2 linked regions of the Mus musculus genome follow. The protein of the gene in region 1 interacts with the protein of each later gene in a pairwise test. Links are inferred from orthologs where the notes say so. Each region holds a gene or a part of one and is shown in the gene's direction. Other genes may lie near its edges.

Region 1 (3,206 bases):
CTTCAGTATCCATAGAGCTGGAAAAGAACTTCAGCAATTTCCCCCGGCAGTACTTTGCCCTAAGGAAAATTCTTAAACAGCTAATTGGTGAGTTGTTCCCAAGAGGATACTGGCAGAGGGCATGTAGAGGAATGGAAAGTTCAGATCCTTCCAGTGAGCTTCACTCTTCTTAGGCCCACCCCACCTGCCCCATTACCAGCTTTCTGTCTCACCTTGAATCGTAGAGTTCAGAGAAGAAGCCTTAGGTGTCATCTGCTCTAAATAGGGACCTAAACACAGTAAAGGGTTCCTAACTCATTAGGAGGAGTGAGCATGGACCGCATTTACCATCTTAGCCAGGAAAATGAAAGGGAACATCATTGTTAATATTTGTGCATAGAAGAAGAGTCACAAAGCAGGACTATTTCAGGATGCGAGTTCCTGTTTATCCTCTCCCCAGCCCCTACTGCCCACTCGATATGGATCCTTCTCTCTGGCCCTCACTCAGACAGTACCTTTCACTATTCCATTCAGCAAAAGCAAGCATGATTTGAGGTCAACCAGCCCACAGTGTTCTGGGAGCCTTGCAGGCTGTGCACAGGGAGGCTGGGAAAGTGAGGCAGGGACGTTTAGCTATTCCCATCCTCATCTAGCTCCACTCTGGCTTCTTCCGCCAGCGGATGTGACTCTGGACCCCGAGACTGCTCACCCTAACCTCGTCCTGTCAGAGGATCGGAAAAGCGTCAAGTTTGTGGAGACAAGACTCCGAGACCTCCCTGACACACCGCAGCGTTTCACTTTCTACCCTTGTGTCTTAGCTACTGAAGGCTTCACCTCAGGTCGACACTACTGGGAGGTGGAGGTGGGTGACAAGACCCACTGGGCAGTAGGAGTATGCCGGGACTCTGTGAGCAGAAAGGGCGAACTGACTCCACTTCCTGAGACTGGCTACTGGCGAGTGCGGCTGTGGAATGGGGACAAGTATGCAGCCACCACCACGCCTTTTACCCCTTTGCACATCAAGGTGAAGCCCAAGCGGGTAGGCATATTCCTAGACTATGAGGCTGGCACACTGTCCTTTTACAACGTCACAGACCGTTCACATATCTACACCTTCACTGATACTTTTACTGAAAAACTTTGGCCCCTCTTCTACCCAGGGATCCGGGCCGGTCGGAAGAATGCTGCACCACTTACCATTAGGCCCCCAACAGATTGGGAATGACAAGAGATGCAGTTTAATTGGGGTGAGGCAAGGTCAAGAGCGGTGGGCCTTCCTAACTGGCCTGCTAGAATATCTTGGTGTCTCCGTGGTTCCAGTCTTGAGCCATCTTGAGAAACCACCTCGCATCTGGGATGGTTTGTGTGAGGAGTAAAGATAGGACTGGGCTGCATGACCAAGCACAGATGAGTGTCCCTCCTTACTGTAGTGGGAGAGTGGACTCCCAGGGGATTGTACTCTGGTGTCCCGCAGGTTTCCTAGTGCACGGGGACAGGTTGAGAAAGCAAAAGCTTTCCAGAAACAAAGTCTATAGGAAAGGGTCTTAACTTGCTTAAAATGCAGGAAACAGAAACCTTTAAAAGGCTTCTGTGACGCAGAATAGCCTTGTTCCTTGTGGGAGCGCACAGGGGTCTGTATACCTCGGTGTCGGAAAGATGAGTGGCAGTTGCTGTCATGAGTCTAGAAGTCGAGGGGCTTTTCCGGGGCCAGAGCTTGAGCATTAAAGTTAGGAGAAGGATCAGGGAAGAGGCTGAAGGAATGTTTCTAGGATGAATGAAGGGAAGGGGGTTTTCTTTGGTCTCTTTTCTTCTTAGGGTAATGCTATCATTACCCATAGGATTAGCCAGAGGTTCAGATTTGGGGAGAAGGAAAGGATGGGGAAAAAGGAGACTCCATGTCCCAAAGGCTTGCGTTATTCCTGTTTCCTGCAGTTGGCTGTCTCTAAAAAGTAGGCTCCTCTTGCTTCCTTCTAAAGGTGAGATGGAAGCAATCCTGCAAGACATACATCTGAGCCGGGCGTGGTGGCATACCCGGGAGGCAGAGACAGGCGGATTTCTGAGTTCAAGGCCAGCCTGGTCTACAAAGTGAGTTCCAGGACAGCCACAGCTATACAGAGAAACCCTGTCTCAAAAAACTCAAAAAGAAAAAGACATACATCGGTCCTTCCATTGTTTCCCAAGGCAACTTGGAGAGGAGTCAGATATTAGAGGAGAGAGAAAGGTGTAGCTAAAGCCTTGGCCTTAAGGAATGTTCCTAAGTGGTTATTCCCAACTTGTCCACCTTGCCCCCTGGCTCAAAGACCTAAGGAAAGAAGGGAAGGTGATGGAGTCTTTCTCACCCATGAGAACAGGGTAGAAGAGGGTGGTTTGTGTAGCAAAGGGCCAGAAGACAGCTAAGCTTCTATTTCTATCCTTCACCCTTTGACATTCCCCTTTTCAGAGAATGTAAATTATTTTAATTTTAGGCCAAAATAAACAACCCATAGGGTACATATTTTGTCACAAAAGGTACCAGATGCATGCCAAACCAAACAACCTGGATTATCTGCTGCCTGGGTAATCTTCACACAAGACTGAGACAAGAAACTGCAGTGAGGGCATTCAGTTCCTCCTACCACCTCAACAGGACTTTGTCCACTCTACTCTTACCTTTGTGCCTTGACTGTGGTTCTTTGTGGCAAGATAATTGGTTGGTGAAAATATGGAACAAAGGATCCACTAATGTGATCTCTTGAGTTGCGTGGTAATTTGTCAGTGGATGGGTGTGGAAACTGTATGTTCTTGAGTCTCACCTTCTGTCCTTAATGGAGGTTTGGGTAAGCTTAGGAATCCACATTTTAATACACTCCCCTCATTTGTCTCTGAAGGCCCATACAAAACACCCAGGGTAAGTTTCAACGAATTGCCTAACTCTGAGCCAGCAGTCTGGTTCCCCACAGATCCTGCAGGGGCCTGGATCCCTCTGCTTCTGACCTTAGCCAGTAACTGGGAATCAGAAGTAAACACCAAGCCAGGTTGAATAAATGAGAAAAGGTCAGAGGAAGGAGGGTGAAGTAGATACTAATAAATAGCCGAGGAGACCGGCCATGCTGTTGTCTGGTTATTTGTGCTGTTCATGTAGCTACTAGCCCTTGGAACAGCAAGTGCCTTTAATAAGAAGTGGGAGAAAGGCAAGAAGCTCTTTGCTTAGGGATGTTTTGTCCTGTTAACTTATTTCCTCCCTTGTG
Region 2 (4,081 bases), on another chromosome or scaffold:
CCTGGCCTCCAACTCTGGACAATTCTTCTATCCTCCTGAGGGACCCCCCAACCTCATCCAACAGCAGCCCCACCCAGCACAGGCCTTACAGGCATGGCTCTCCACACCTGGGGAAAGGTGCTTTGTCCTGCCAGCGGGTGCCTGGGAACAGCAGGAACAGGGGCCCCCACACGGAACAGCTGCTGAATCTTGTAGCAAACAGTGGAGTAAATCGGTACAACTGGATCCAATTCCAAACACAAACTGGCTTAAAAAAAGGAAACAGCAAGTCCAAATTACTTCGGCTTTTTTTTTTTTTTTTTCTTTTTTAGAGGAAATCCTAAAACTGCTGTAGATTGCAGTGTTGGGAAAACAAGCTCGTGTTTCCAGTTTCTGTACCACTACTTCCCCACTCTGAGCTGTTCAACTCAAGGAGTTCAAGCATTCATGCTGACTCAGTTTTGTCCCCACCGTCAGAACAGAAGTATGACCCAAACGGTACGCTGGGCGGACTAGGAACAGAGACAAGCTGATGTCCGCTTGGCTGTTTCAAGTTTACCAATCCATACTCATTTAGTGCAAACATTGTGTTGGTCAGGTCTATGGAGGTACAAAGAATGACCTTTCCAGAAAGGGCAAACCTAAAATCTCAGCAGAAGGTCTCAAGGTCACTGACCCAGGACAACCCTGGAGACTGGAAACTCCTGGGTCCTGATCCGCACCGGAGGAGGTGGGGGTTCGAGGCCGCGTAGTGAAAGAGCTAGCGTGGGCAGTTCTTTTGTACTCCAGCTGGAGTAAAATGAACGCAGGCTCGCGTGTTTTCATCGCTGGTGACAGCATCCAGCAATGGGAGTAGGGCTCAGGGGCGCGCAGCGGTGCTTTCTCAGCAGGGTCCCCCGAGAAGCCGGAGGAGGGGGTGAGCGCTGCGCCAGAGGACCCGGGAGCCCGGAGGCGAGGGCAGGGGGCGCGGGGCGCGGGGCGCGGACTGGGCTGCGCGCCTGTCCAGGGTGCCGGCAAGCAGGAGCCGCGGCGAGGGAAGGAAGTAGGAAAGAGGAAGGAAAGGCGGGAGGGGCCGGCCGCGCGGCTGCAGTTTCTGCGGCCGGCCTGGTAGGAGGAGCGGGAGGAGCGGGAGGAGGATCCCGAGCCGTCCGTCAGCGGGCGCGGGAGGTGGGGAGAGCGGGAGGAGGAGGAGGATTAAAGATGGCCACCAGCAGCTGCGGGAGACGGCCACCAGCCCTCACTTTCCGGGATGTTCCCCGCGGCCCGGCCCGGCCTTGATGGAGAGGAGCAGCCCGTGCAGTGCCGAGGCTGAGGCGGCGGCGGGGACCCGGCGAGGGAGAAGACGCGGCGGAGCAGGGACCCAGGCGGGAGAAGGGAGCGGCGGCGGCGTCGCTGCCCTGGCTGCCTAGCACGGCTGCCGCCCCGGCCCCGCAGCTCGCGGACTGCAGCGGGCGCTCGGCCCCGGCCCGGCCTGGGGGGACTCCCGGGCCCCACGCCTGGGCCCGCGCGTCCGCGGTGAGTGCTGCCTGCCCGCTCGCCGGCTCGCCCGCGGCGCGCTTTGTTCCTGCGGGGCGGAGGCGCTGTCCGCGCGGGGACAGGCCGCGGCCCAGCCGCTCCCCCACCCGCGTCCTCCTCCGGGCCTGGAGAGGGCGCCGTCGGCGGCTGGTCCCAGGCGGCCGGCGGAGGGGCGTGCGGGGGCCTCGGGGATGGGGAGGCGGGGGCAAGGCGACCGCAGGTCCGGGAGGGCGGGGGCGTAACCCGGCGGCGCCCGGGGTAGGTGGGGGTCATGCCGGTCCCCTCGGGAGGACCCTCCCGGTGCCCATTCCCGGACCCCCCAGCCCCCACCCGCGCGCGCCCGGGCGCAGCGGAGCGCGGCCTCCATCCCTCGGGCGCCGTCTCCAGGGCCGCGGGCCTCTCCTGGCTCATCCCTCTACGCTCTGAGCTGCAAACCCTTCCCTGTGGAAGGGACCTGGGATGCTTCTGTCCTGCATCGGGGATGTGGTGGCATCACCGACATTCGCGGTTATGGCGGGGTTGAAAAGGCAGCGGTGACCTTTCCGACCAGAGCCCTCTGGACCATGGTCGCATCGGAGGTGCTGCGTTCCATTGATTTTTTGACTCTTGAATCGGAGAGACAGATGATGAGTTCTTCCTTTGTAGAAATAATAGGATAGAATCAGATCAAGCAGATGTTTACCGAATGCATGGATTTTCAGTACCTCACCAATGGCTAAGTGTTTTTTCTGTGGGAAAAATGGTGCTTATGCATACGAAAAACTATTTTTGTTCACTAATAGCTATGGGTTGGTCAGTACCAAGTGGTTATTATGGTGTCTGAAAACCCAACAAAAAAAGAAAAACAAAACCCTTGCGTCGAGACAGCAGATTCCAGGCTGGCCTCTATCAAGCAGGTTTAGATCAGTTTTCACTGTCAGGATGTAAAGCAAGTAAAAATAACAAAACAATGAAAAATGTACTTATTTACAGGAAAATGGGATGTGGTATTAGTGTAGAGTCTAGGAGAAAGACTATAGTCTGTTAGTGTATAGATCTAGTCAAAGTAAATCCCTCTTTAAATAAAACTGTCATCATGGGACCCTGCTGTGTAAGAATTAGCTTGATATGCATTTAATGTTTAAAAAAAATCTGTATTTCATTAGGTTTGAGAACTAAAACTTTGAGCAGTTCTGCCTCAAGCAACTAGAAATACAGGTTTTTAAATAGTTTCTCTTTTCCTTAGTTGAAATCTATTCATGTAAAAATATGCTTCTCACAAAAATTTCTCTACAAATGTGCTATGAGTTAAGGAACATGAGGCTTTGAAGTAACTTGGAAAGACATGAAAGAAAGTTAAACCGTAGTGTAATATTCCAGGATCAGATTCTGTACTCTGAGGATGCTGAACTCCACAAGTCTTCACTGTTTACCTCTGGTGTCCTAAATATCACCAAGGTGCTGCATTCAGTGGGGTCTTAGAATTTCTAGAAATTATCCTCAGAATGTAGCCTACATCGGGGCTCCCCCACCCCCATTTGATCTGGAACCACAAAAGATGGTAAACAACTGGGTATCGTAGTTTAAAAAGAGTAAATATCCTACCTGGGTATGGTGACTCATACCTGTTGGCCAGGTACTGGGAGGCTGAGAAGAGCGTGAACGTCTAAGTCTTGTAGATGCAGGCAAGTCTGAGGAAAAAAAATTAGTTTGTGTACTTTCCACCTGTCTCTGTCTAATGCTTGTGATGGAGAGTGTATCAGAGTACCACGGAAAGATGGAGAGGATCCCAGGATAGCATGCATGTAAAGTATTCATCCGTGTATTCTCATTCAGACACGGGGAAGATGCTGATCCCATTGTACAGATGGGGAATTAGGCAACTTTAGGGAAAGTCTAGGACCCAGATTGCCTAAGTTTAGAGCCAGTGATGATCAATGTTTTAGGATACCAATTAGATGTGAAGACCGGAATGGCATGGCATTTTGGAGTCATGGGCTTTCAGTGCAGAGGGCTCAGTGACGGGCTTGCTGGGGTGACCCAGGTATGCACACAGCTCTGCAGCCACACCCCAAAGCTCTTCTCGCTGCATCCCCCTCCCCAACCACCCACCCTCTAGTGTTATTGTTTTCTGTGATTCCAATGGCACAGACCCTTGCGTTTCCATCATGACTGTTGTGTAGAATCTGCTTGTCTGGCGTCTGCTCTGAGTCCCAGCCCCTTCTGCACAGCGGATACTTTTCTCGCCCACAGCACCATTCACAAATTAATGGCCGATTTGGTTTTTTTCAGGTTGGGTTTACTCAGGAATCATCTCCATGTAGTGACGCTTTATCTGAATGTGCAGTTGGGTGGTCTGTCTTACAGACAAGCAGAGGCCATTCATACTTCCCTAGGAAGGCCCTTCATGGCCCTTTGCTTAGTCCTCAGATCCTTGGCAACCATTAATGTCCTCTGTGGAACACCGTCCAGATGCCTCGTGGTGCAGAATGTTGCCTTTTGTGCCTTCGTGCGTTTAGTGTAATGCCTGTGCCATAGAGCAGTGGTATAGCCACGGGCTGGTAAATGGTAACAACTGTGGCAGTTGTTCTAGGGTAACAGTCACCAT

The links. The genes of interacting proteins can lie anywhere in the genome.
Region 2: the proteins of Trim39 (region 1) and Wdfy3 interact in binary tests that used the Homo sapiens proteins (3 or more experiments, as listed by UniProt). The two-hybrid records come from large-scale screens. The link is inferred for Mus musculus from reciprocal best matches to the Homo sapiens genes TRIM39 and WDFY3.

The regions. Positions count from the first base shown.
Region 1 is NC_000083.6:36,258,372-36,261,577, reverse strand, and holds the end of Trim39 (E3 ubiquitin-protein ligase TRIM39), read left to right. Parts: coding exon 1-87; intron 88-632; coding exon of another isoform or gene 633-656; coding exon 657-1,204; 3' UTR 1,205-2,705; downstream 2,706-3,206.
Region 2 is NC_000071.6:102,067,009-102,071,089, reverse strand, and holds the start of Wdfy3 (WD repeat and FYVE domain-containing protein 3), read left to right. Parts: upstream 1-1,168; 5' UTR 1,169-1,494; intron 1,495-2,728; exon of another isoform or gene 2,729-4,081. UniProt on the Homo sapiens protein: Required for selective macroautophagy (aggrephagy). Acts as an adapter protein by linking specific proteins destined for degradation to the core autophagic machinery members, such as the ATG5-ATG12-ATG16L E3-like ligase, SQSTM1 and LC3.